Rhinolophus ferrumequinum: one gene and its partners. The protein of the gene in region 2 interacts with the protein of the main gene of each other region in a pairwise test. Links are inferred from orthologs where the notes say so. Each region holds a gene or a part of one and is shown on either strand. Other genes may lie near its edges. The genes, in order: PRKAA2, REL, GADD45G and POLR2L.

Region 1 (6,927 bases), on a different chromosome or scaffold from region 2:
TCAACACACTTCATTAATCACTGAGTGTCTAGGTTTTTTTTTATGGTAGACTGGAGAACAATAACAGAAACACCTTATCATGAATCTATAAGGTCCAGTATGTTCTGGCTGATGCCTAACTCCAACCACACTAGTGACTCCTACCTACCCCAAGATGGAAAATTATGCTTTGTATTTAACAGTTATATGCATAAAATGAACTTATTAAGTTTGACTTCTTTTTAAAGTGCTCTTCCCTGTGTTCTTGTTCCTTAATTCCATAGGTTAATAACCATCTTCTTTATTTCAATTCAACAAATATTTCTGGAATGATGTACCAAGTTCCGTTGGGCCCTAGAAACAGCAGATGGAGTATGTTGTTTATATATACGTATATATATACATATATATAAAATATTAATTTAGACATGAAATATATATATATATATATAAAATAACAGAATCGATAGATGCTGTATTAGCGATATGAAAAAAGTGCTATGGGAATCCTGAAGCGAAATATGCAGTCAAAAAAATCAATCACTTTAGAGGAAGGACAGAATTATCTTTCTATTCTCTCTATAAAAAATGTTACAAAATATGAAGAGGCAATCAAAGAATATACAACCAAAAAATATAGAAAATAAGCATTATAAAGATATGTGGGATAGTTAATTTATATAGATTTTTTTTTTCTGAATTCGGGGATGTTTGTGTTGTCAGTTTAAAAATTATTTGTAGATAGTTTATTTCATTTCAAAGAAATATTTGCTTTCATGACCAATTTTGCATTTTTTTTCCCCATAAAGAGGACCCCCACATTGTATAAACATTAGATGTCACACAGCCCGAATCTACTCAGGTGCCTATAATTTATTTGTAAGGCACTGTTCTGGGAACTGAGGATAACAGCAGTGAACAAAATAGAGAAAAACACTCTCGTGAAGCTTACATTCTACTTGGGAGAGACAGACAAAACAAAAAAAACAGAGTAAACAAGTAAATAGTATGTTAGACAGAGCTGAGGAAGTTAAGGGGATGGAGAGTTCAGGGCAGGGAGTATGAGTGAGGTGAAACTGCAATAAATAGGACTGGTCAGAGCCGGTAGGCCTCACGCAGAAGGTGACCCTGAGAAGACTTGAAGGAACTGGTTGTTGATAATACCAGTGGAATGTAGTTTATTAGATTAGTGGTACTCCATTATTCTCCTATCCAGGCCTTGCTTTAGAATATTTGAAGTAAAGTAACCCCAAAGACCCAGTAGTAGGAGGGTAAAGCAGTAATAGTTGGAATAGGGTTAAGAAGTAAATAGCTGCCTGGTCCACTGAATCTCAGAGATTGGTACTAAATAACACATGGACACGAAAACATCATTGGAAAATAATAAAGTGGGGAATATTGTGCTTACCAGAACATCTTTAGGGAGTGAATCCTCAAGGGGCATGACTGTTAAGGAGATTTGGTCTGATTAACTGTCATACTGTATTGCTCTGTAGGGAGAGGCAAGGATGGAACCATATCTAAAATGTTCAGGGCACTAGAAGGCTGAGTGCTGCCAGACGTTGTCCTTTTCCACCCTTCTCACCCACTTAACATTCAACCTTTTCTCTAAAAGAGCTAAAGGTCAGGAAAAGAGCTAAAAATATAAATTTAAAGGGCATATTATTGGCCTGTCCTAGAAATAAAAAACAAAAAAATCAAAAAAACAAGAATGGGACTACAATTGTGAAGATTTTAAACTTACACGGAGCACCACGTTTTTATAGGCAGCTGTGGTATAGTAGAGGTAAAGGGTAGGTCAAAACTAGATGTGAGGTCTGACTCTGCCACTTAGCTGATTAGCCTTGGACAAATCAGAAAGGGAAAAACTAAGTTTTATTATCTATAAAATGGGGATAATCATAAGTTTCTTTTATGACAATTAAATGAGATACTTGTGTTTAAATGAACTTTTTAATCAACAAAGTATCATACATTTGTTTGACATAAAAATAAAGGTAGTTCATTGTAGCTAGGTAAGGATCATTGTTACGACATGTATAATAACGTAAGTTGTAATTATCAACAAATAGTTAAGACAGTGCAAAATGCCTTAAAATATCTATTTATAGTCTGTCTTCATGTAGCTTCAAGAAAACAATCTAATAGACTTTTCAACATCTTCTAACGGAATGTTAGCACAAGAGACAGACATACATCTTATATCGCAAAAACTGAAGAGGTATTTTGTTTTCTCATTCATCTGAATGAACACTGGAGGAGTGACCCTACCAAATGAAAGTTTAGTATCTAAAATAACTGGCTATTTTCTCCAAATTGCCAGCTAGGTAGAGTGATTCTTAATGATACTTCTTGTCAGCAAGAAAGATGATCGCAAGAATGAATAAAAATAGCCTCTGTTCAACAGCTGTGATATCTATAATTTATAAGCTGTGATCATTTCTCATCAGATTGTTTTGGTGTGTAAACAAGAATGATGTATGTGTGCCATTTGTGTATTTATCGTTTCTTAAAAAACCAATTTTTGTTACCTCGCATTCTTTCTGATCAATACGTTTCTCTCTTTACATATAAACAGTGTGGTAAGTGACTTCTTGTTTGAGGAATGTGACTTTGAAACTCTATTGTCATACACAATGTTTAAAATGTTCAACTAATCCTTACACATTATTATCAAGCAGCCAATATTTTTTCAGCACTGTTAAGATAGGCAACATTAAAGAATAGGACAAGAAAGGGAGGTAGGGAGGGAAGGATATATAATCACTTCATTACTAAATTCTTGTCAGTCTAGTTTCCTCTCACCATTTTTCCCCCCACTTCTATCTTTATCACATTTATTCTTTCATTAATTTGTGCATTTAAATTGCCCTTGCTTTCTTTAAAATTAAAGTTTATTGGGGTGACAACTGTTAGTAGAGTTACATAAACTTCAGGTTTACAATTCTATAATACATCATCTATATATCACATTGTGTGTCCACCACCCAGAGTCAGTTCTCTTTCCATCACCATGTACAGGAAATTGCCCTTGCTTTTAACAATTTCTCTTTGCCCCTATGTATTTTACTTTCTATGCTCACTGCATTCAGTTTCCCTTTTCATTTCTTTCACTGTTTCTGCACAGTTCCATCGCAAACTATTCGACGCTATGTATTAATATAAGCATGTGCTAAAACACAATTGAGCAAATATGCGGCTGTGATTTATTGGAGAATGTTGTGCAAATTAGAATTGAGAGCTCGGGAGGAGAGCGTCTCTTCCACCTATAGGAGAAAATAATCGAGAATTATAATATACGTGGCGGACGACTGAATGGAGCACAGATTTGAGTTCTCCATGTGCCGTGACCTGTATCTCAAACACTCAGCCTGAGCGACTTCCTTGAGGCTCCCTGACTGCTCCCGAATCAAGGCCTTTCCCGTCGCCTCCTACCCAACTTCCCTTCGACTCACGTAGTCGTTTCTACATCTCCTCTCTCCCCACTCTTTGGGTCTGTTTGTCTTTTTTAAAATTCTACTTCCAATCTCTTTCCATTCCCTAGGATTCGGCCCAAATCTCACCCTCACATTGTCCCTCCCTTCGGTGTTCCCCATAATGGGCCCCTATAGCCCACTCTCGCCCTCCAGCCTCTCCCCCAGGTAAAGGGGCGCGGTCCCCTGCACCCCGACCTCGCACACCTGTCATCCTCCGACCCCGCGCCCCCCGCTCGGGGACCCCTCCCTCGCTGGGCGCCCGGGTCCAGCCCCCACTGTCGCCGCCTGTCGCGGGGGCCCCGCGCATTCGCCCCCGCGCCCCGCCCGCCGCTCGCGGGCCTTCCCCACCTGGTCCCTGCCCCCCCGCCCGGCGCCCCCGGCCTCCCCGCGCCGCGGCCCCGGCCCTGCCCCCCGCCCCCACCGCGGGCCCGCTGCACTGTGGGTAAGCGGCGGCGGCGGCGGCGGCCGCACTCGGGAGCCCGCGGCGGCGGCGGCGGCGGCGGCGGAGCCCGGCTGCGCGCGCTGAACATGGCTGAGAAGCAGAAGCACGACGGGCGGGTGAAGATCGGCCACTACGTGCTGGGGGACACACTGGGCGTCGGCACCTTCGGCAAAGTGAAGAGTGAGTACGCGCCCGCGGCGCTGCGGCGGGCCGAGCTGCGGGGGCCCCGGAGCCCCGGAGCCCCGGGCCTGGCGGCAGGTGGGGCGGCCCCGGGCCGCGCGGAGCTGGGGGCCCCGGGAGGGCGGGGGGCAGCGCTGGGCTCCGCCTGGCCCCGCAGCGGCGGCTGGAGCCGGGCAGCGGGCGGGGGATCGGCGCCCGGGTTCTGGGGCCGGCGCCCAGCTGCCTGGCGGGTGTCGGGGAGCAAGGCGCTCCTGCCTCCCGGACCTCGGCGCCCTGTCCTCCGAAAGCGGGAGAGTGGGCTGCTCGGTAAGGCGCCCTCGGCTCTGAGACCGTATGGGTAGGGCTGGGGGATGACATCCGTCACTGATGATTTCCAGTTCCCGTGTCGTGCCAGGTGCCCTGTTCGGTGCTTGACGTGTGATTTCATTTAATCCTAACAGCAACTTGCTGAAGCTGTCATCCTCACCTCGAAGGTGAGAAAACGGGGACCCCTAGAGGTTTAGGACAGTGCCCAAGGTCACACAGAAATTGGCAGAACCAGGATGAAGTGCAAAATGTCTTCCAGTTCTGGCCAGGCTGGAGGTCCTTGCCATCCTGATTCTTTCGTGCTCCAAGACTCTGCGTTGGTGCGGCTGACTGTTTAGGGGATGTTTGGGGGCCGAGTGGTGGGTCGGTCTTTCTGCTGGGCGTGTGAACCGCTGGAATGCAGCTGGATTGGGCCGGGTTAATTACAACGGGCAAGTCTGAAGGTTGGTTGGCGTGTGTACAGTGGTTCTAGGAAGGCTTCTGGGATGAGGGGAGAAAAAAGTTTCCTTGGTGTCGGACCCAGTGAGGTGTGGGGCCGAGGAGGCCAGAACCGCTAAAGCGGATTCTGCTAAGGTCTGTTTTGTTGATGATGAGAGACCATTTTGGATGTAGAAAAACAGGCTGCTATCGGAATTTTTCCTCCATGCTAGTTAACTATTAAACTTTCCTTTTTGTTGTTGTTAACAGGAGTCACATGGGATTTAATTAATTTGTCCTCTTTCCAGAACTAGAACCAGCTTATTAAAAATACTTTGTTTGATTGTTGCAAATCCAGAATTATAAGTAGAATGTTGGCTGTTTAATTCTTTTTGCTTTGGATAGACAGTTTGGAGATTTTATTCTGAGACCTCTATTTCCTTTAAAATTCATATTTTCATCTTAAATCTATTCAATAGAAGAAACGTAGTGTTCATTCCTGTTGCCAGAATCAGCTCTTATTTCCTTACACATATCTGATACCCTTTCAGAAATACAGTTTGTTCAGAAAATACCGATTGAGCACCTCCAATGTGCTAGGCACTGCTGTAGAGAATAGGGATCCAGCAAGGAACAAATCCAGATTAAAATCCCTCCTTTGGTGGAGTTCATATTAGTAGGGGAAGACAATAATCACAGTGTATATGTAAAATGCATAGTATGTTTAGTGCTATTGAGAGAAATGAATCAGGGAAGGGAGGCTAGGGAGTTTTGTTTGGTTAGCAATTTTCAATAAGGTGTCAGGCAAGAACTCACAGACAAGGTGGGGTGTGTGTCCAGGCCTTAAAAGGTGGTAAAATTCTTTGAAGTCCCATGAGGGCTGTGAACTTTTGGGTTGTTTTGGAAAGACCTCATAAATAGAGTGGGTAGTGAGCATATGTTTTAAAATGAATATAGGAAGATCTAGGGATTGGATTGATGCCTGAAACATTACTTGTCATTAAACGGTATTGCTGAGGACTGTTGTGTTTCAGCATGATGCAATTACTCCATCAAATGGTGCATTTGCTATCTGGACATGTATGTACACTCTCAAAGTTAGATAACTTATCCTATGTCCTAAATTGTGTTAACATTTTTGTTTGTTTCTTTAAATTCTTCAACTGTAACATGAATATAGACTAAAACACCCATCACATCAATTGGCCCATTGTCAAGGGACAACTTAAATCTCTTTTGTATGTGTTACTCTTGAGCTGCTTCCAGGCACTGGCTTCTTAAAATATAAACAAACAGAAGGTGCTTTGATTTATGAGAAATCCTTTGCCTGGAGGACCCCTGTCCAATGAGCAACCATGCGGAGGGGTGTCCTAACACTATGTTAGAATCTCTCTAAAGTTAGATTGTGGTTTTTCCATCCACGATTCGAATTAGTACAATTGTTTGTTTAATACAAATTATAGAAGTTGCTACAATCTAAAGTTACTCATTTAATTCTTCAAGGGACAAGAAACAAAAGCACATGCATTTTTAAAAAGAACTTTGTTAGGTATATTGTACATATTATAACGTTAACTCATTCCAAGTGTACAATTCATTGATTTTTAGTAACTTGACCAAGTGGTGCAACCTTCATCATAGATCAATTTTCGAACATTTTTATCACCACAGTAGGATCACTTATGCCCATTTTTAGTTAATCCTCTTTCCTACCCTCAGCCCCAGAAAACTACTAATATGTTTTCTGTCGGTATAAATTTGCGTTCTCTGGACATTTCTTATAACTGGGATTATTCAATATGGAGTCTGTCATGTCTAGCTTCTTTAACAATGTTGTTGAGGTGCATGTACGACATAGCATGTGTTAGTAGCTTGTTCCTTTTTATTGCTGAATAATATTCCAGTGTGTGGGAAGGCCACATTCTGTCTACACATTCATTGATGGACATTGTTTTCAGTTTTGGGTTCTTACAAATAATGCCACCACAAACTCTACTTCACATCTAAGTCTCTGTGTGGACATACGCTTTTATGTGTCTTGGAGATATAACTAGGAATAGTTATATCCCAGGTCATATCATAGTTTTATGTTTAGCTTTTTGAGAAACTGCAAACTTTTCCAAAATG
Region 2 (6,868 bases):
ATTTCCAAAACAGCCTTTATGTTTACATGTGTAGTCTTCTACATTAAAAAAAAAAGAAGTCATTTGCTTTAGTTATCAATTCCAGCTTCCAGCTCTATCATTAAAGATTGAAGTTGCAACATACTTACATTCATATTTTCCCCCCTTACTCAAGGGAAACAGTTCTCTTGAAATTCATACAGCAGACAAAGAGTTGGTAAGTAGTGTGCGGTTTACAAAAACAATTTCTTAGTGTACTTCCTACTCCGTGACAAAGCAGAACTATACTAAAGAAAACTAGGAATAAAAATTATCTAAATGTTAAAACGTATTTTACCAAAGACAGTACTATTTATTAGTAAATAGAGCCAGGGGCACACAAGAACATTTTACACTTTCTACTGGAACAATGAGAAGCTTTAAATTCTGATATAAAAGAGCTAATTTTACTTAAAATGTACAAGAGTAATGATTGCCTAACTATGCTATGCATACCCTAGATGGGTCTGGGTACATTTTTCTTCACAATGCCTATTTTAATTCATCATGTCAAAAGACTGAAACCAAGGTGTAATTTTAAAAAAGCAATAAAGACAGCTTAATAGAACCTAAACTGGGAAATCCTGAATAATCTGACAGCTTACCTGAACAAAATTTAGAAATATGTATCAAAGTACCAGTTACTCATGGTTCTTATAAATTTGCTTATGAGATTATGATGTTACTTTTTACGTTATGCAGATCATATATTCAACTACACACACATATTTACATATGACATCCGGGGAGAAATGTAGAAATGGTCTTAAAATCTTTGTAATCAATAAAAATACTTTTTGAGTTTTAATACTACCTTACTACAAACAGAATCTAAACTAGATAATGATAAACTAATTTAGCACTTTTTTCCCCTGTGATTCTTTTGGTTAAATTACTGTTTCAAAACAGGATAGGAATTGATAATTTAGTCACTCTTCCTCTAAGGTCTTTAAAATTAATTAAGGAAAGTACACCCCGACTTCTTTTTAAAAATTTGCTTAGCAGTTTTCAAACAATTGAATTATAATTTAAATAACATGTTATGATTACAACTTTCCATTCCTTATTCCCCCCCCCCCGTTCAATTGAGGGTCCTCATAACATCACAAAAATATAGTGTCATTAAATAATTTTCAATTGTATCACAGTTTTAAATGATGTAGGTCTTACAATACCTATGTAAACATGGTTACTTCTTTTCTCTCTTTTGAAAGAATTGGGAGTATTACATTCATGCCATGTATTAACAAAGTTCGCTTAAATTGCCAGCAGGCTGACCTTTTTCTTTTATTTATAATACTCGCTATTCTTTACTATTTTTATACAAAATTTCTTTCTGATAACCAATAAATTAATCAAATATTTTAAGTCATCTTTGCAGTTTTAATCTAAACGGCCTTTGAATTATCTGAAAGTTTGGGGGTCACTGAAGTGGGTTAAGAGAAAGTTGAAATATTTTAAACTCCACTTGTATGCTCACATGAAAACCACAGACAAACTGAAATCAAATGTCGTGTGAACTACCCCAATTTCCTTTTTAGCCTACAGCAGTAGCTATGACATTTTTCTGTTCAACCCCTTTAAAAAGTCCTCTAAGCTTTCTACTTCCTCTTCTCTGCTAGACATCAACCTTCTGCTGAGGGTCACTGTACCAGGGAGTTGGGAGGATGCGGGTCAAGCATAAACAAGGCCCCCCCTCTTCAACTTGTCAGTACAGCGTTCAGGAGTAACTTGTAAGCCTCCGTGACCGCTCACGCTGCTCCCTCTGCCGGGAAAGCGCCCTCGGAACCCGGCCAGAATCCTGTAAAGGATTCTTCACTTACTTCCCTTCGGTCACAGGCTGACCTAAACCATAGTTGTATATTCCGGACCGGTATGAGACTCACCCCCTTTCCTCTGAACTCTTTCTTGGTAAATTCGTTTCCCCTCAAAGCAAGAGATTCACGCATTTATTAACTGAAAATAAACATTTACACAAGTGATAGGAAATTCTTTTACTCCCTACCCATATTTTGAAGCACAAGTATTCTAAAATTCCTCTTTCCCCCTTCTTTCCAACAAAGGAGGAAAAAAACAAAACCAAAGCAACATGACTTCTGCTCCGTAAGTTAGAACGTGCGCACTGTGCAGTAAAATCTATCCACCGTGTTGAAGCAACATTTCCACTTAAGACCTGTTAAAACACCACCGGTGACTTTTAAAGCCACACGTTTTGTACAACTGTCAGCACAACAGCGATCACCTCTTGGTACTTGATGAAATTAAACTAAAAAACTCAGAGCTTTTCAGAGGTCTGAAGGTTCCTCATTCCTGTTGTAAAACATAAAACCACCATTTCGATGTAAACCAATTTTTAAATACGCGAACTCCTAGTCCTCCATTTAGATTCTCATTACTTCCCTAGTCCTAAAACAGAGTCGTTGGGAATTTCTAAGGTTCCGGCTACTATAATGGCATCAAATTACAGAGCGTGACTTTGATTTCGCAGGCAAACCCCCGAACCACCTTACTTGTTACAAGGTTGACAATTTGCCAGACCGGGCAATTTTAGAGAGAACGCGCCACAATCAAAACTGAGCGGCAAAGCCCCGGGACGAGCCCCAGGTTCCCCCCAGCTCGGGCACCGCCGGTGGCGCCCAGGACACTCACCCGAAGCCATGACTCCGTTCACCGCGCCGCTCCGCTCCACTCCGAGCCTCTGGACCGGAGGCCGCCGCTGTCAGTCAGCCCGCCAGTCAGTCCTCTGCCGGCGGGACCCCCTGTCCCACTGACCACCGTCGGGGCCTCCTCCTCCTTTCCGCCCTGCTTTGGTTTGCGGCTCACACCTTCCCACCCCCTTAATTCTCGCGCCCCTGCTGTCCCCGGCCTCGCCCGTCCAGGGTGCTGGAGCCAAGGGTAGGGGGGCGGAGCGCAGCGAGAGCCCAGCACCTCAGGGCCAGAGAGACCCGCGCCTTAGCGGGAGGGGGATTTCCCGCAGCTGACGTAGGCTCCTCACCGCCGCCCTCTCTGGGGGCGGGAGGGCGGAGGGGCGGGGCGGCTAGCGCGCAACCGCACACGACGGCCCGCGCTCCGCCCCGCCCGTACCCCGCCCCCGCTACCACCCCGGGTGCAGCAGTGGGCTCGGGACCCCGTCGGGGGAGCTGGGGCGCGGGATCTTCGGGTATGCAGGGAACACGGGGAGCCGAGAAGTGACGGCCCCGAGCGTGCGAAAGCCGCCAGCTCCTTAGAAATCCCCCTCCTCCGGGCTGTTCTTCGGCGCGTGGTTTAAAGTTCAGAAGCGGGTAGGAGGGTGCGGTGACGTCGAGAGGGCCGGCTGCCGGGGAGTACTTGGGGCGGGCCGGCCGGCGAAGTGGGGCCAGCCCTCCCTGGCTGGAGCAGGGGGGCGGGGCGGTACTAAGGCCCGGGATTTTCGATGGGTGGTTCCCCCTCTTCCCTATTTCGCACATGCAAATCTCCGCCTCCGCACAGGCGGGCGATGCAGCGCTACTGTCGCGGAGTGCCCTAGAGGGGAAGTGCGGAAGTGGCTGTCGCCAGTATTCGTGTGTAATGCATGCATTTGCATACGGGGACCCCCGCAGTCTGATTTTCCCTCTTTACATCTAAATTGCGAGGACTCAGTTAACTTTACGGATTTTACCTACTAACTTTTTAAACTCCTAAGGTCCGCACTGCGAGTTCGTTGTCTCATTTAATGCACTGCTCAAGATTAGTGGGGTCGACTCTATCGTGGGATTTGATAGAAATACCCATGAGGCGGGGGAAGGAACGAACTGTTTAGTATGTTAAAGGAATCGAGTATTACTGTGTTTCCTTTATGTGCTAAGAACCTTGTATGTATCAGTTGATTTACCTCATTTATGACATAGTACCCTCATTTTATAGATGAGGTAATCGTGGTTCAGAGAAGTAGTACTTCAGAGAAATTAAGTTCATACTTCAGAATACTGGTAAAAAGAAAAGCACAGTTTAAACCCAGAGTCTCACTCCAAAGCTCCACGCTCTTCCCACTACCCCTTGCAGTATGAAATGACGAAGAGTGGGGAACGTGAGCCTGCTATACAAGTGCTGAAGTTGGAGGACACAGTGGGGAGAGGAAAGAAAAAAACACAAAAATTTCCTACGAACCCCAAAATATCCTTTCCACAAAATGCAGAAAAGTAGAAAAGAATGAAAGGATTGAATAAGCATTAAACCATACTGTGATGCACTGAAGAGATTGCAAAGACAAAAAAGAAATCTCACTTGGTAAGGAGGATAGATTTTATTCCAGTTGCACACAGAAAGCTATGAAGAGTTTTAAGTGTGTGATTGACATTACATTTTGAGATGTTTACTCTGAGTGATGTGTTAAACTGTTAGTATACACTAACTAGGGGCAAGGGTGAATGAAGGCAAAGCAGTTAAGAGGTTGTTGCAGTAGTCTGAGAAGTAAAAGTGGTTTCAACTAGTGTTTTTGCGGAGGAGATGGTGAAACGAGGTTAGATTTAGTAAGATATTTTGGTAACAGAACCAGATGGCCTTGGTAGATGGGAGGGGAGAAAAGGAATCAGGGAAACTCACATTTTTGGTCTGAGCAACCAGGTAAAAAGGAAGGCTGGTGAAGAAAAACATTTGAGAAGGAAAATCAGGAGTTGTGTTTTGGATACCTTACATTACAGATGCTTATTAGACATCCTGAAGTAGACAGTTGAATATGCAGAACTCAAGCTAAGGGGAATCAGGGCTAGAAATAAAGATTGGGGAGTCAGTAGCATTTCATTTACGATAGTACTACCTAAAGAAATGGTGCAGATAGAGAAAAAATTAAAAAGAGCCCTTGACCCTCCAAGTCGAGAACTAGTAGAAAAGAAAGAGCTGCCAGTGAAGTAGAAAAACCAATAGACTAGTGTCCCAGAAGGTTCAAAAGGAATGGAAGTCAGCTGTGTTAAATGATGCTGAGAGAATGAAAAAGATGACAATAAAGAAATGACCTTGGGGCGGTAGGTTGGCTCTGGGTTAGAGCGCAGTGCTCATAACTTCAAGTCACTGGTTCAGTTCCCACATGGGCCAGTGAGCTGTGCCCTCCACAACTAGAGTGAAAACAGCAGCATGACTTGGAGCTGATGGGTCCTAGAAAAACACAGTTCCCCAATATTCCCCAATAAAAATTAAAAAAAGGAAAAAAAGAAATGACCTTGGCTTTGGCAAGATGAAGGTCGTTAATGACCTTGATAAGAGCCATGTCAGTGGAATGGTGGGGATGAGGGCTGAATGGGAGGAAGTTGAGAAGAGAATGATGGAAACGATGAGTATAGACAACTCTTCAAAGAGTGTTAAAGGAAATAGAAATGGGGCATTAGCTGGAAGGCGATGTGGCGTTATTTTAGGCTAAGGGCTATCACTGACAACTACAGTCTCAACCAGTTAACATAATTAAAGTTTATCATTTGAGTCACAGTCCAGTGTGAGTTGAGTGACTTTCTCTTCCAGGAGTAACCCAGGGACCGAGGTGACTTCAATCTTGTAGCACCAAAATGTGGCCTTCAAAGTCACGTTAGAAAAGGAAAGAGAGAATGAGAGATTTTTATGGGCCAGGCCTGAAAGTGAAATACGTTACTTCTGGTTGCAGTCTACTTTCCATGTGGCCTCCCCAAGGGGACTGAGAAATATAATTTGAGAAACGTAATTTAGCTGTGTGCTCTGGAGAAGAGAAGAAAATGATTATCAGCACTAGCAAGCTCTGGAACTGAAGTTTATTTTGTTTGTAGAGGGTGATATTAAGGCATATTTGTATAACAGTGAGACTGACTCAGTAGTGAAGGAGAAATGGATGATAAAAGAAAGGAAGGGGTTGATGAGTAAGGAAGAAAGGATGAAATCTAGAGCACAGGTATAGGGTTGGCAGTAGATTGGAATGGAGACACTTCTGTGGTAACAAGAAGGAAGACAGAGCAGATGCAGAGAACATGGTACTTGATGGTATGAAAATGAGGTAGTCAAACTGCCTTTTTTTTTTTTATAGTGAAGTATGAGGTCAAGTTCAACCGAGAGTGAAAGGCAACGAGGGAATAGGAGATTCGAGGAAGAGGAGAAGCTGAAAATGTGGTCTTGAGAGTGGAATTTTATAAGGTATATCTGGCTGTACTGAATGTCCATTTGAAATTTGTGGTCATAAATGTAATTCAGACCAGTAAACAGTATTTCTTATATGGTTTTTAACCCAAGGGTTATCGATGCGTAATAGTATGAAAAAGAAGACAAAGAACTAGGAAAATTGAAGTCTGAATGGGAATGCTGTGTTTCCCCGAAAATAAGACCGAGTCTTATATTAATTTTTGCTCCAAGAGATGCATTAGGGCTTATGTTCAGCGGATGTCATCCTGAAAAATCATGCTAGGGCTTATTTTCTGGTTAGGTCTTATTTTCGGGGAAACATGGGATGAGGGAGAGATGCATAATACCTCTCAACCCACACACACTCGTTGGATAATCTCATCCATTCTCATGATTTTACCCATGGTCCCAGGACCATATATCCAGCCTGAATCTTTCCCTGGGCTTTAGACCTACATATCTAATTGTCTGCTGAACACCTCCAAGGGGAGACTCATAGGCATCCCAAACTCAACCTACTCAACATCTCTTTCCAAGTTTACTCTTACTCCCATATTCCTTATGCCACCATCCACTGATATACAGGTTAGAAAATCGGGAGCCATCGTTGACTCTCTCTCTCACCAACTCCCACCAACCCCACAACATCCAGCCACCAAGTCCTACTGATTTTATAATCAAATATGAATCCATTTCTTTTCCATCTTGATTGCCACTGTCCTTGTTCAAATCTTCATCATCTTTCACCTTAACTACG
Region 3 (6,083 bases), on a different chromosome or scaffold from region 2:
ACTACAGTGAGAGCTGCTGTGCTACTGCTTATCGCTATGACACGTGTCACAGTCATTTGTGACTTGGGACTGAGAAAGTACCATGTACATGAATGATTTGCCCTCACCCCCTTAGTTTCAAGGGCCCTTTCACATGCTACGCAACTGCTCACCCAAGAATAACTGTTCCTTCTAGGAAGCCCCCCCCCAATCCGGGGACTGACCATGGAGACCCGGCTCATGCTCTATGGGGATTTCCCGTTTCAGTTTCCTGCTTCCTATCTCAGCTGTGATCTAAAGGCTCCCCATCTACAGACCTCACATTTTGTGGGGTGGGGGCACGGCAGTGCATGGGGGGTGGTGCTGTAGTGTGCCTGTTAAATGCTGGGACACATCTGAGATGACTTTGCAGGTTTTAAATATTAAGTGTGTGTATTGCACAAAGATTTGGTTTCTTTTCTTAGTTAATGTATTATTGTCACCAACTCATTGCTGTTCCCCCCACGCCATCCATGAGTTTTTTGGGAAAAACAAACGCTCTTTTTGAAATCCAAGGAGACCTGTCCTGCCTGAGAAGGGGCTGATGAAGGGGTGGGGGTGAGGGAGTGAGAGCAACTCCCCCGCCATTTGGAAAGGGGCCAACCCAGACTGCTCCCAGCGCCCTGTGCCAGCACAGGAGACCTGTCCTGCAGAATCTGGGACACAAATAATGCTTGCCCTATTTGAGCTTGTAAGAACCTGGTCCCTTTATTTTGCTTTTCAAACTTCAGTTTCTTTTTAAAGATTGCAAATGTAAAGGCCTGCAGGGGACAAGCAGGTCATGAAAATGAACGAAGCCGCAGGAATCCTCATGAGGGTGTGAAGGGGACAGTGGTGAACTGGAGAGCAGTGCCCTTCTGGGGTCCCACTGCCTCCCCTTCACTGACGGTTACTGTGGTGTATCGGGGTGGTGGTGACTGCAGGCATAGTGGGGGCCAAATCTCATTTTCCAAAAGAAACTGGAATTCCAGAGTTTTATGTGAAAGTTGCTGGTTTTGAAAGGTGGCAATGATTTGGACTTTTCCTAAGACACCCCATCAGCCAAAGGACTCTGCCTGCAGGTAGTATGGAGCTCTGAGCAGTCCGTGGCCTGCAGCCTGTGGTGGGGCTGCAGTCACAGGGGAATGAACGGGGCTATTTAAAGACAGCATGAGTGCACTCTCCAAAAGCAAATGATTTGAGAAATTGCAATAGGGGCTATCTCATAAAGCTGACTATTTACTTAAAGCCCATTTCTTTCCATACTCAAATCAACAGACTCTGCCAACATTTCAGTCAGGTAATGAGGGTGACTAAGAAGTGCATTTCCAAGAATGTGTTAATAAAATGGTTATACTGTGAACATTTCCAAAGGCTTTTAAAAACAGAGCATCTCTAAGGGTGTCTCTTTAATAAAGTCACCATCACCTGCACTGTTAAGGGAATGTTTAGGGGTGCAGTCATGGGGAGCTTGGGGTGACATCACAGCCGTCTAGGACCTGGGGCTCCAGCAGGCTAGACACTGGCTGAATGCAGTTTGGGAGCATAATGGCATCGCAGCCGGATAAGTGAGCCACTTGCTATTGTCAGCTGTGTCTTCTATTGCAGGGCAGGGCTGGAAGGCGTCTGAAGGTCACCCGGAATGGGGTGCAGCCTCACCCACGGCCTGCCTGTAGTGTGATGGGAACTGGGCTGTCCCAGACCCTGCAGCTTCTGCATTTGTCTAAACTGCGGGGTGGGGTTGGGGGTGGGGTCTGGTGGAGGGCCAACATTGCCTCTGGATAAAATGTTTCTTTCCTTCCTAATTGAGATGAGGTCTTTGGGGCCATTCAGACTGACTTCATAAACCCATGTGAAGTCATATCCTATGTCAGAAAGGTGGTTTTCCTGAAATGGAATACCTTAAAAATCTGAGCAAAGTAGAAAAGCCCCAGGAGGTTGTCAATCAGGCCTCTTCCTCAGGGCTGGCTTAGTACCAAGCGGAAATGCTGTCCTCCTCCCCACTCTGGCCTGTCCAGTGGCCTACTCTGTCTGGGAGCAGGGGGCCGAGGCCTGCTGTGAAGGCAGATTTCTAGTGTTATAAATGGGGCGGGGCTAAGATGTCAAATAAGTCTTATTTGCAATATTTCCTGGGGACCCAGAATAAATACATTTTAAGAAATGTTTAATTCTTTAAAAAGAACAATACTTAAGTCTCAATCACTTAAAACTAAACAGATTTTATCCAATCAAGGCACCATCATTTTATATATCATCAAGAAAGAAAGGAAACAATAGCAAATAAACTATGCCACCTGGCTCCCGCGATAAGACACCTTGGGTTTCAGGAATGTTAGGTAAGCAAACACCCGCAACTAGGAATCAAGGAGGTGGCCTTGATTTTGCAGCTGTCTTCTGCCAGCAAACCACTGGGGGGCACCAGCCGCCAGCTCAGTCGGTTATTTTTCTTCATTATCTTCTGTCTTGACTCAAGCCTGGGCTTCCAGGAATCCCCCCGCCCGCCCACTGTCCTGCCCAGTCTCCAAGTCCTCGACTAGAAAAGTGAGGTCAATGAAGTGCATCCCAGTGCGTATTTTAGTGTAGCGCAGAGAGATGCAGATACCAAAAGGGGGCGAACCATCTGAAAGTGCCCGCTTGTAGGTCCAAAATGGTCACATCACGGCAATTTCTACTAAACCCTCTCAAGGGCTCTTCCAGTTTTACTATTCTATTACTGGAAAACAACATTTATATATACATATTTAAATAACACAAAAATTCCAAAATAGCATAAGAAATATGGGCTCTTCCTCCATGATTCGCGCCCACCTTCTCCCCATGTGGATTTTGCAGCCCTTACTCTGACTTCCATCAATGGTAGCTTGGATGGGGCTCAGCGGATCCTGTCAGGGCCACCCCGAGACTGGAGGTCAACCCGCCAGAGGCCACTGGAAATTGGGGGGTGAGGGTGTGGGTGGGGAAGAGGGGTGGTCAGGATCTTTCTACCCGGCCTGTAGATGGCGCCCCAAGCTCTTGGGGACTGGAGCCTCGAGGTCTCGGCGGAGCGCACCTGGCTGCCTGGATAGTATAGCAGCCTGGTGTTTTTTTCATCTGGCTTGCCTGCCAGGACTTGGTGGGGCCGAATTACACGTAAATGGGCCGCGGGGTGCAGAGGGACGCGCACCGAGGGGCGCAGAAGCAGCACACGACCCCGTCCCCCAAGGGCCGGGCAGCCCGGAGACCCCCACGCGCGGCGCCGCCCTGCCCATCCCACCCGGCGGCAGGTGGGCAGTGTCGCTATGAAGAGAAAGACTCGATTGTTTTTTCTGCAAACAGCCACACGCCAGACCTCTGCTATTGTGCGCCCTCCATAGAAATGCAAACGAGCCGCGTGCGCCGGCCCCAATCTGCTCGCGCGCCCGGCGCCCCGCAGTGCTCTGCTGCCGGCGGGGAGCTTGGCTCCGACCCTCCAGCGCTGTCGGATCGGGGCTTTGAGCGTGCACCGCGGCTTTGCCGGCGCGCTCGGGGGCATAAGTGTCAGCTGGAAGGGGCTGCGCCCAGACCTTTTGCAAGCTTAAAGCCAGTGCTGCGAGGTTTTACTTTAAGTTCCGGTTTCAAAACAACAGTCTCTTGAAGTCCAAATTAAAAGTAAAGACAAAAATAGAAAAGAAACAGCAAAAATAAAATGAATGCAAAATAAATTTTTTACGTTCCCCAAAGGTGCATTTCACAAATTGTAGCGACCTATTAGCAAGTAAGGTCGTTTGTTTGTTTGTTTTAATAACTTCTTCCTTTTAAGGACTTTTAAAGAACAACAAAAAAAGGAGATGAAATTTGCAGGTTCCAGTCTGCCTAGTAACACCCCGACAAAAGCGGCAGATTTGAGGCATTGTCATCCCCCGCAGCCCTCCCCACGTGGCCTTCTGGCACGAGTCCCTGGCCGCCGCCTCATTTGCATCAGAAAGCCGGCGCTGGCCAATGGGCTCGCAGTTTCGCGCCAGCTGGCGGCGCTTCGGCCCTGGTCTATATAAGGGCGCGCGGCCGTACCTCGGCGCACTAGCTGGCGGTGGCGCGCCGGTACCAGCTGCAGGCTTTCTCAGCCGTTCATCGTCTCCTGTTGGTCCGCTTCGTCTGCTCCTCTTGTGGATAACTTGCTGCTTGCCTTACCGCACGATGACTTTGGAAGAAGTCCGCTGCCTGGACACGGTTCCTGAAAGCACAGCCAGGTGGGTGGGCACCGGGTGCCGGACGTATCGGGGCGCGGGGAACCTCGCTCTGCCCTTGCCACGGTTGGTCGGGCGAGAGCCTTAAGAGCCCGCCGGGGTGGGACCCCGCTGGCTAGAGAGTCGGGCGGGGGTATGTCAACAGGGTTGGGGCGCCGGGGGTGCGTCCTAGTAGCTGGGGACCACGCCGCGCTCTGGGTAGTCCTACTCACGGCGCTGGTTTGTCCGCAGGATGCAGGGCGCCGGGAAAGCACTGCACGAGCTGCTGTTGTCCGCGCAGCGCCAGGGCTGTCTCACCGCCGGCGTCTACGAGTCCGCCAAAGTCCTGAACGTGTGAGTATAAACGCGGCTGGGATGAGGCGACCTGGGGCTGGGGGAGCGGCAGGAAGACCTGGGAAGCAGCATCGGGGGCACCCCCTGGTCAGTGGTGCCCTGACCTCATCACCCCCCTTCCGCGCGCAGGGACCCCGACAACGTGACCTTCTGCGTGCTGGCAGCGGACGAGGAGGACGAGGGCGACATCGCGCTGCAGATCCACTTCACGCTGATCCAGGCGTTCTGCTGCGAGAACGACATCGACATCGTGCGTGTGGGCGATGTGCAGCGGCTGGCGGCCATCGTGGGCGCCGGCGACGAGGCGGGCGCACCGGGAGACCTGCACTGCATCCTCATTTCGGTGAGTGTACTCCTCCCCGTGTCGCCCCCGCCCGGGCCAGCGGCCTGTCGCCAGTGAGGCTGACCTCTGCGCTCTCCCCGCAGAACCCCAATGAGGACGCGTGGAAGGACCCCGCTTTGGAGAAGCTCAGCCTGTTTTGCGAGGAAAGCCGCAGTGTCAACGACTGGGTTCCCAGTATTCCTCTCCCCGAGTGACAGCCCTGTGGGGGGGTCCTTGGTCTGATCGACGTGGAGACGCCCCGGGGCGCCTAGCGCGGGGCTGGCTCTGTGGATGCGCTCTCGGAGGGCGCCGGAGTTTGGCGTGGAGACTGGCAGGCGGGGTCGCGTGGAGAGAGCGGCGAAGAGGCGCGGCTCCCTTCGACCAGGGGGCCTGGCGGCGGCAGGGGCAGGCTGGCCCCGAGCCGAGGACTCTACAAGTGTGGGGAGCGGCTGCTCGCCCTGGAAGGCCGGAGGCGGGACGTTGGCCACGGGGCCGGGAAGGACGGACTGGCTGGGCAGGCGTGACTCAGCAGCCTGAACTGTGGGCAGGAAGCAGAGGAAAGGCGAGGCCAGGCGGCCTGGACTTATACAATTACCGGAGCTCTGACGGACCTAGCAGTCTGCACTGCTGTTTCAAAACGGATCCTGGCAGTGCTTCGTTCTCTAAAGGATTATGCTGCTGCAGTTATGAATTTTGCAATAAACTTAACTGAAACGAACTTATTTTCTTTATTGAGGGTTGGGGGTCCTTTCTGAGGGGGTGGTGGTCAGCAGGGTTGCAGATGAGTGCTGCAACTCATGGAACTCGGTGGCACCTGTTCCATCCTCCTGTCTGGGCTGAATTACAGGCTCTTGTTTTGAATTACTGGGCACTGGAAGTGGGGGAGGAGGTGCTGGCAGGGAGTTTCGCAGGACTTGAGACCTGCTCCTATTTTTCTCCTTTTAGGAAGATTTTTAAACTAGCAAGACAGGAGCAGAGTTGAGATAAGACATCAGTGCAGCAGCTGAAGGCTGGCCATCCAACCTGATAACAGCAGCTTCCCCCTCCCTTCCCCCTCCTCTCCCGGCCCCCTCCCTTTCGACAGCTGCTTATCGGAACAGCTTGCAGGAGGCAGGCAGCCTTCCTGCACAATGAGCATTGCCTTGTTCAGGCGCTGCCTTTTGTGGTCCCTGAGGATGGCAGCAGACTGCTCTCAGGAACATTCTCCTTTTAAAGGAATGGCGCTTACA
Region 4 (6,361 bases), on a different chromosome or scaffold from region 2:
CTGGCCCGCAGGGTTGAATGCTGATGCCCACGGCACTGGGAGCTCAGCCAGCCCTGACAACCCGCAGAGCTACTGTAGGGTCTCCGGGCTGGGTGGGGAGCCTGAGTGCTGCCCCGCCTCCTGCAGGAACTTGGCCGAGGGGTCTACTGGGCTTGGGTGGAGCCTGGAAGCTTCTGGCAGCAGGACGCTCAGGATGGGCAGCCATGACCACAGCAGGCATTCTATTCAGGGCCCAGAAAATCTGGTTCTTTAGATCCTGGGAAGAGAGGATGTGGGGACCTCTGTGCTGTGCTGACCTAGAGTACACAGAACACATGGGTGGAGATGCCAGTGCCCTAGTGCTCTTGGTGGCCTGAGAGCACCCCCTCCAGAGGGAGACACCCCAGGCTGAGCAGTTGCCATGGGGATGGCTATCCCTTTTCCTGGGCAGTAAGTGGCCTCAGGCATGAGGCAGGACACAGGTACACAGTGGCAGGGAGTCGCACAAAGCCAGACCAACTGTCAGGACCTTCTTGTGGTTCTGCAAAGACCTTTACTGGATGGCTCCTGCCAGAGCAGGAGACCAACGCCCACACAGCTGTGAGCAGACATTGCTCCTGGCTACCCACGCTTCAGTGGGAGGGGCTCTGGGCAGGACAGACTGCTGGGTGCTCCCGGGCTTCTGCAGGGGTACATAGTTGAGCAGCTTCTCTATCAAGTCCACGTGGGCCAGCAGCATGCTGGGTGCTCACTCACTTCTCCAGGGGTACATAGTTGAGCAGCTTCTCTATGAGGTCCACGTGGGCCAGCAGCATGCGGCGACAGCAGTAGCGCTTCAGGCCCAGCGCGTCCAGAGCATCCCTGCAGGCAGAAGACAGGCTGTGATCTGTCGGTCCCCAAAAGCCCAGGCAGATGGAAGCCTCACTCAGCTGCTGTGGGATCTTTCCTCAGCCCTGCTTCCACATTGGGAAGGGAGGCATCTCTCCAGGGAGCCATTTCTGACGCAAATTAGAGTCCCCAATTCCCTGGGACCAAGATTAGTCACCCTCGAGGCCTCCAGAAAATTCCCACACCATTGGCCCCAGTGTGCAGAGATGGCAGCTTGGCAATGGGGAGGCCAGGCTGGAAGGTCCCTGCCCATGGTGCTGCACGGAGGGTCGTGGGCAGGCTACCAGCCACTCACGCACTCTGGTCACCCCAGCAGCCTTTGCAGGGTCTGGTGCCAACAGCCCATCATCACCCCCACACCTGCCCTGAGAGTCGATGGCATGTTGGCACGTCCCGGGTCCCAGGGGTTCAAGTGTGACAGGACATGGGCTGTCCACACAGTGGCCAAGGGTGAGACTCTACTGGGGAGCAGACTCAGCTAGCCGTGGTGGTAACTGCAGTGCTAAGGGACAAGCACAGAAAAGGGACCTGCCACAGCCTCAAAATGACAGCTATGTGGCCAGGAAGCTGCCCTGAGCCTAAAAGACAAGTGGGCTTGTGGGACATGCGGTGGATCTAATAGCAGGTGGGCAGGGAGCAGGGTGACGGCTTAACCGCAGTGGAGGGGCACCGCGGCCGGCCACAAGGACACCGAGAAGCCCCCTGGAGAGCAGGGCTGGAAGAGACTCTGGAACTGAAAGCCCCTCCAGGGTCACCTGTAATCGGATGCGCGTGGCACCGCCCGCCCCGCAGGCCGGGACCCCGTTACCCCCGGCCCTCCCCGCCCGTCTCGCAGGGCGGCCCAGGGACGCTTCCCACCGCGCTGGCGGCCCTCCCCCGCCGGGCCCGGCGCCTCACCCCTCGGTGTACTCGGCCTGCAGCAGCCCCAGGTAGGCCTCCCACTTGTTGCCGACGATCTTGCCGCAGGTGAAGCAGCGCACGGGGATGATCATGGCGGCAGTGGGACAACGACCGCGCTCTTCGGTTCCGGCGGCGCTTCTGCCCGAGAGCCGACCCCGCCCCGGGCGCGTCCATGGTGCGGGGGAGACGGGACCCGTCTCCAGCCGCCCCCAGTCCACCTCCCCAGCCCCCGCGCCGTCGGCATCCGCTTCCTGTCGCGACGATCTTCCTCGCGCGTATCGGGGGTCTCGGAACCCTCGTGGCTGCGGCAGGAGCAGGCGGCGTCCCCTCTGCGCCCCTTTGGTACATCCCGGCCTATGGTGGCCGAGCGAGGCCGTAAGGGCTCGGCGGCGCAGTTCGCGTTTCTCGTGTCCGCATGACTGACAGCTACGCGGCGGGTGGATTGCGCGCGCAGGTACAGCGTCCGCTGGTCGGGGTCCCGCCGCCCGCCGCGCCAGAGCCGGGATCAGACACCCGCCCCGGCACGAGCGAGCGGGAGCGGAGTTCCAGCCCGGAGCGCGGAGCCCCGAGTCGAGCCGCAGCAACAAGTGGCGGGGCCCGGGCGCGGCGACCCCGCAGCGGGGGCAGAGAGAGGCTGGCCGGCGGCCACGGGCGGGTCTTCCCGCTGCCTCTCCTGGACGGGCCGGGAAAGGGGTCTGTCGCCCGGAATCCTTGCCCGCGGATGCCCGGGAATCTCTGCGGCTGAGTTCGGGAGTGCCCTCGGGGCGTCTCCAGGCCCGCTCGCCCGTGCTATATCGGTCCCGGCCAGGTAACAGTTACCTGTAGTTCCGACGGTGGGAGGGCACGCTAGGAGCGATCGGCCGGGTGGTGAGCTCAGACAGCGCCGCATCGATCTGCTTTGGTCCGCGTCCCTCCTCCTTTCTTCCCGGGGAAGGGGATGGGGGGCGGGAAGGGTCTGCAGCCGCCCCAGTCCAAGCTCTGCTGGGTCCCCGCGATCTGAGGACCGGAGTGTGGTCAGGGAGAGCGTCGTGGAAGAGGCGCCTGTTGAGCTGAACCTTGAAAAGTACAGGATTTCACCAGGCGTGAGCCTGAGTGCGTGTGAAGGAGCAGGGCAGACCCTGGCAAAAGGAACCCTTGGGCAGAGGTCTGGAGTCGGTACCTGCAGGGTAGTCCCAGACAGGTGTGCGCTAGGGCCAGAGTAGGTGGTGGGGCAGGAGCCACGGAGGATTGAGGGGAAGGGAGGCTGTGTGTCGGGAAATGGGGTGGGCTGAGCCCCAAGATGGGGGCTGGGCAGGGCGGGCAGTGTGCAGTGAGAAGCCCGAGGGCTCCCTGTGTGTGGGTGGTGAGCTTTGGGCTCTAGGGGGTGGATGTGTTGCAAAGTGGCACCTGTGACTTAATGTGTGTGCAGCCTCTGGGGCAGGTTCGCTGGATCTCTGGTTGGGTCCCAGGAGTCAGCTAACTGCCCCCTCAGGCCTTAGTTGGGGGGCAGGGAGATGGAGGGTCCTGGGTCCTGGGTGGAGCTGCCGGCACTGGTGCCCGCCTGGAGTTTGTGCCTCCACTTTCTCCGGGGCCCTGGACAGCCTCCCCAGTGCTCTTTGCCATCCCCCACCCTGCCACGTGCAGAGCCACGAGCCAAAGCCACTTCCCTTCCCTGACACCCCCCCACATACACACTGACTGGACGCACATCCTGTCCCTGGCCTGGAGGGGCAGGATAGGGGCCTTGAGTCACAGTGGCCTGGGGTCAGACCCAGGCTCAGCTGCAGAGGCTGCCCGAGGCTGTGGAGGTGAGGGAGACCGGGAGGGCATCGGGATGTCAGCTGGGTGGACCTTCAGGAGCTGGAGTGGGTGGGGGCAGAAGGCTTCCTGGAGGAGGGGCCCAGGGCCTGTCCCACTGGAGCTCCTGCCCTGAGCAGTTGTTTACGCAGAGAGAGTAAGGGGAGCAGCGAGCCTCCCTCCCTGATCCGGTCCAGAGCCAAGTTGACATTCCTGGAATTCTGAGAGCTGTGTGTAGATTTGGGGGCCGCTGGCTCCTCTTCCCAAGCTCCTCCCTCCAGCTCCCTGATTTCCCAGGAGAGGCCATGGGGAGCAGAGTGGCTGCCCCGGCCCAGCCTGTGTGCGCTGCCCCAGCACACGTGTGCGTGGGTGGAGGCCCCTTGGGGCACTTAGTTCTGCCTGCTCAACTCTGCCTGGCTCAGCCCTGCCCAGGCTGGACCAGAGGACCCCAGGGGAACCTCAGAGGTCAGCTCTACCCCCCAACCATGGCCCGGACAGGCTGTGTCCCTGCATGTGTGTCTGTGTGTGTTGGGGTTGCACGTTGAGGTGAGGGCCGGGGGGGCCAGGGGCAGGAGGGAGCTGTGGGGGCCCAGGGCACTGGTGGAGGAGGGGCTCTGCGTGCCTGCTGGGGTAGGTGGGGGCCCTGGCTTCTCCCCTCGGTGTGGAGTGTCAGCACAGATGTGGCCCAGGCCTCTGGGGAGGGCCGGAGAGTGAGGCACAGGTTTTCCGAGAATGAGTGTCCTGCCTCCAGTGATGGGAAGCACGAGGAGGGAGGGCTGTGCTCACATGTGGTTTGGAACCCGTGAGCCACATTTCCTGCCAGAAAGGGTCACTTGAGGGCAGGCCAGGGACAAGGGGAAATCAGCGACTGAAGTTTTAGCTGCTGAGCTTCCGGCTCTGAAGGTTGTCCTGGAAACAGGCCGGCCACAGGCCCCAACCCCTGGTCCTGGATCACAGCCTCAGTTTCCCCATCTGTAAAGCGTGGATGGAACGAGAAGCTGCCAAGCTGGAGGGTCCGGATCTATCTGTGCAGGTGTGGGGTTCCGGACTCAGGCCCTGGCCGCTTGCTTTGGGTACATGTGTGCTTACATGGGGTGTACAGGGTGGCATGGGATCCTTGAACATACATGCTCGGATGCCTCCCCAGGGTCAGACGGGTCACCTACCTGCTGCACCCATGCTAACCCTCTCGGCCCTTGGGGCTGGGGAGTCCTTAGTGGTGATGTTTGCAGGCGTGCTGAGCCCGAACTGACTCTAACCTAATGAGCCTCTGAACACACCTGGGGCTGATGTGGGCTTCCTGAGGGAGGGCACTGCTCTGCGGTGTCCGTCTGGTGGCATAGGGCGGGGTGGGGGTGTCTGTCGAGGTGGGGCAGGCACACACTGGCCATGTGAGGTAGCGTGCTCCCAGGGCCTGTGGTGGCTGGGAAGGTATCCCCCAGCCCCCAATCCTAATTGTGTCCCCTTGGCCTTTACCTCTACATGGCCTTCAGCAGAGAAATACCTGAGGTGGGGGGAGGAGCCGGGACGGGGGGGGGGGGGGGGTGGGCAGGGGAGGGAGGGCCTGAGCTTGGGTTGGCCTAGGTGGGCCCAGGAGGAGAGAGGGGGCCCTTGGTGGCTTCTTCCACGGGGATCCCTCCCGTGGAGCGGGTGTCTCCCAGCCGGACGCTCCCGGTTGGGCTGGGGAGATGACCCTGCCTGGGCTCTGAGTGTGAAGGGATGCCAGCCTGCCCAGCCTGGGTGTCTGTGTTCTCCTCCCCCAGACCTGGGTGGGCACTGGGGCCCGGCGGGGCTGAAGCAGTGGCAGGAAGGCCCACACCACAGGCCTGTTTGTGTTGGCCAGGCCCTCCTGGGCTCCTCAAAGCTGCCTCAGAGCCAGCTCCGCCAGGGGGCCGGGGTGGGCGGCTCCGATCTGCGATCTATGCTCCACCCTGAGCTGCCCCTGCTGGGGTGTGTGCTCAGGCCAGACCCCTGCTGCTGCTCCATTGCTGGGGTCAGGGTGGGCCACTGGCAACCGCCCATTTGTCCACCCCAGCCTCTAAGTCCAACGCCACACGCTCTGTTTCAGCATTTGGGCAGGTCCTTTTTGGAGAGGGCCTTGGTGTGGTCAGGTAGGTGCCCATGGCCTGTGGCTCACACAACCCCAAAGACCCAGCCCCGGGCTGGCAGGCTGTGGTATTTGTCTTGGGGCTGTCACTCAGCCCTGTCGCTGTTGCCTGCTGTGTGAGCTGTACTGGGGACACAGACCTGTCAGTCTCTGCCCTCAAAGGAGGGCCAAAGTGCGGCATGGAGGCTTCATGGGGAGGAGCCAGCCTGGTCTTGTCCTGCCCAGGAGGGTTGTAGGTGCTGGTGGAGCCAGCCGTAAGGGCCTGCCGGGGAGGGATGCCGGGATCTGGGGCTGAGGGGATATGCAGACCCAGCCTCAGGCCTGCGTGGGTGGGTGTGTGCTGCATGGTTTTTAGCTTCCGGAATGTTGCTGTGGGCTTTGGGCCCCTTAGCCCTGGGGAGGGGGGTTCATCAAAGAAAGTGGGACGGGTGTGTCCCCCATTTCCTTTGATAGTTCATGGGGCCTAAAACCCTTCAACAGACACTTCATCCCCAGGCACAGCAGTTGTGGAGGGGTGGGGATGGGGTCCCAGGGCCTGGACCCAGGCACATGCCCTCCCCACTGGGGTGGGTGCCGTTCATACCGCCTAACTGAAGTTGGGGGTGGGTGTCAGGTTGCTTGCAGGGACGAGCTGGGACTGACCCATACGGTGGACTCCCGTCCACCCCAGGCATGAGTGGACAGGTGGGCAGTGTGCAGCCCGTGAGGGGT

What was found.
Region 1: the proteins of REL (region 2) and PRKAA2 interact in binary tests that used the Homo sapiens proteins (3 or more experiments, as listed by UniProt). The link is inferred for Rhinolophus ferrumequinum from reciprocal best matches to the Homo sapiens genes REL and PRKAA2.
Region 3: the proteins of REL (region 2) and GADD45G interact in binary tests that used the Homo sapiens proteins (3 or more experiments, as listed by UniProt). The two-hybrid records come from large-scale screens. The link is inferred for Rhinolophus ferrumequinum from reciprocal best matches to the Homo sapiens genes REL and GADD45G.
Region 4: the proteins of REL (region 2) and POLR2L interact in binary tests that used the Homo sapiens proteins (3 or more experiments, as listed by UniProt). The two-hybrid records come from large-scale screens. The link is inferred for Rhinolophus ferrumequinum from reciprocal best matches to the Homo sapiens genes REL and POLR2L.

The regions. Positions count from the first base shown.
Region 1 is NC_046292.1:40,695,629-40,702,555, forward strand, and holds the start of PRKAA2 (5'-AMP-activated protein kinase catalytic subunit alpha-2), read left to right. Parts: upstream 1-3,897; 5' UTR 3,898-3,983; coding exon 3,984-4,077; intron 4,078-4,247; exon of another isoform or gene 4,248-4,383; intron 4,384-4,414; exon of another isoform or gene 4,415-4,550; intron 4,551-6,927. UniProt on the Homo sapiens protein: Catalytic subunit of AMP-activated protein kinase (AMPK), an energy sensor protein kinase that plays a key role in regulating cellular energy metabolism.
Region 2 is NC_046296.1:28,081,318-28,088,185, forward strand, and holds the start of REL (proto-oncogene c-Rel), read right to left. Parts: upstream 3,001-6,868; 5' UTR 2,678-3,000; coding exon 2,668-2,677; intron 1-2,667. UniProt on the Homo sapiens protein: Proto-oncogene that may play a role in differentiation and lymphopoiesis.
Region 3 is NC_046295.1:4,408,529-4,414,611, reverse strand, and holds GADD45G (growth arrest and DNA damage-inducible protein GADD45 gamma), read left to right. Parts: upstream 1-3,869; 5' UTR 3,870-3,954; coding exon 3,955-4,202; intron 4,203-4,430; coding exon 4,431-4,532; intron 4,533-4,661; coding exon 4,662-4,875; intron 4,876-4,958; coding exon 4,959-5,069; 3' UTR 5,070-5,572; downstream 5,573-6,083. UniProt on the Homo sapiens protein: Involved in the regulation of growth and apoptosis. Mediates activation of stress-responsive MTK1/MEKK4 MAPKKK.
Region 4 is NC_046294.1:511,314-517,674, forward strand, and holds POLR2L (DNA-directed RNA polymerases I, II, and III subunit RPABC5), read right to left. Parts: upstream 2,007-6,361; 5' UTR 1,860-2,006; coding exon 1,765-1,859; intron 841-1,764; coding exon 732-840; 3' UTR 513-731; downstream 1-512. UniProt on the Homo sapiens protein: DNA-dependent RNA polymerase catalyzes the transcription of DNA into RNA using the four ribonucleoside triphosphates as substrates.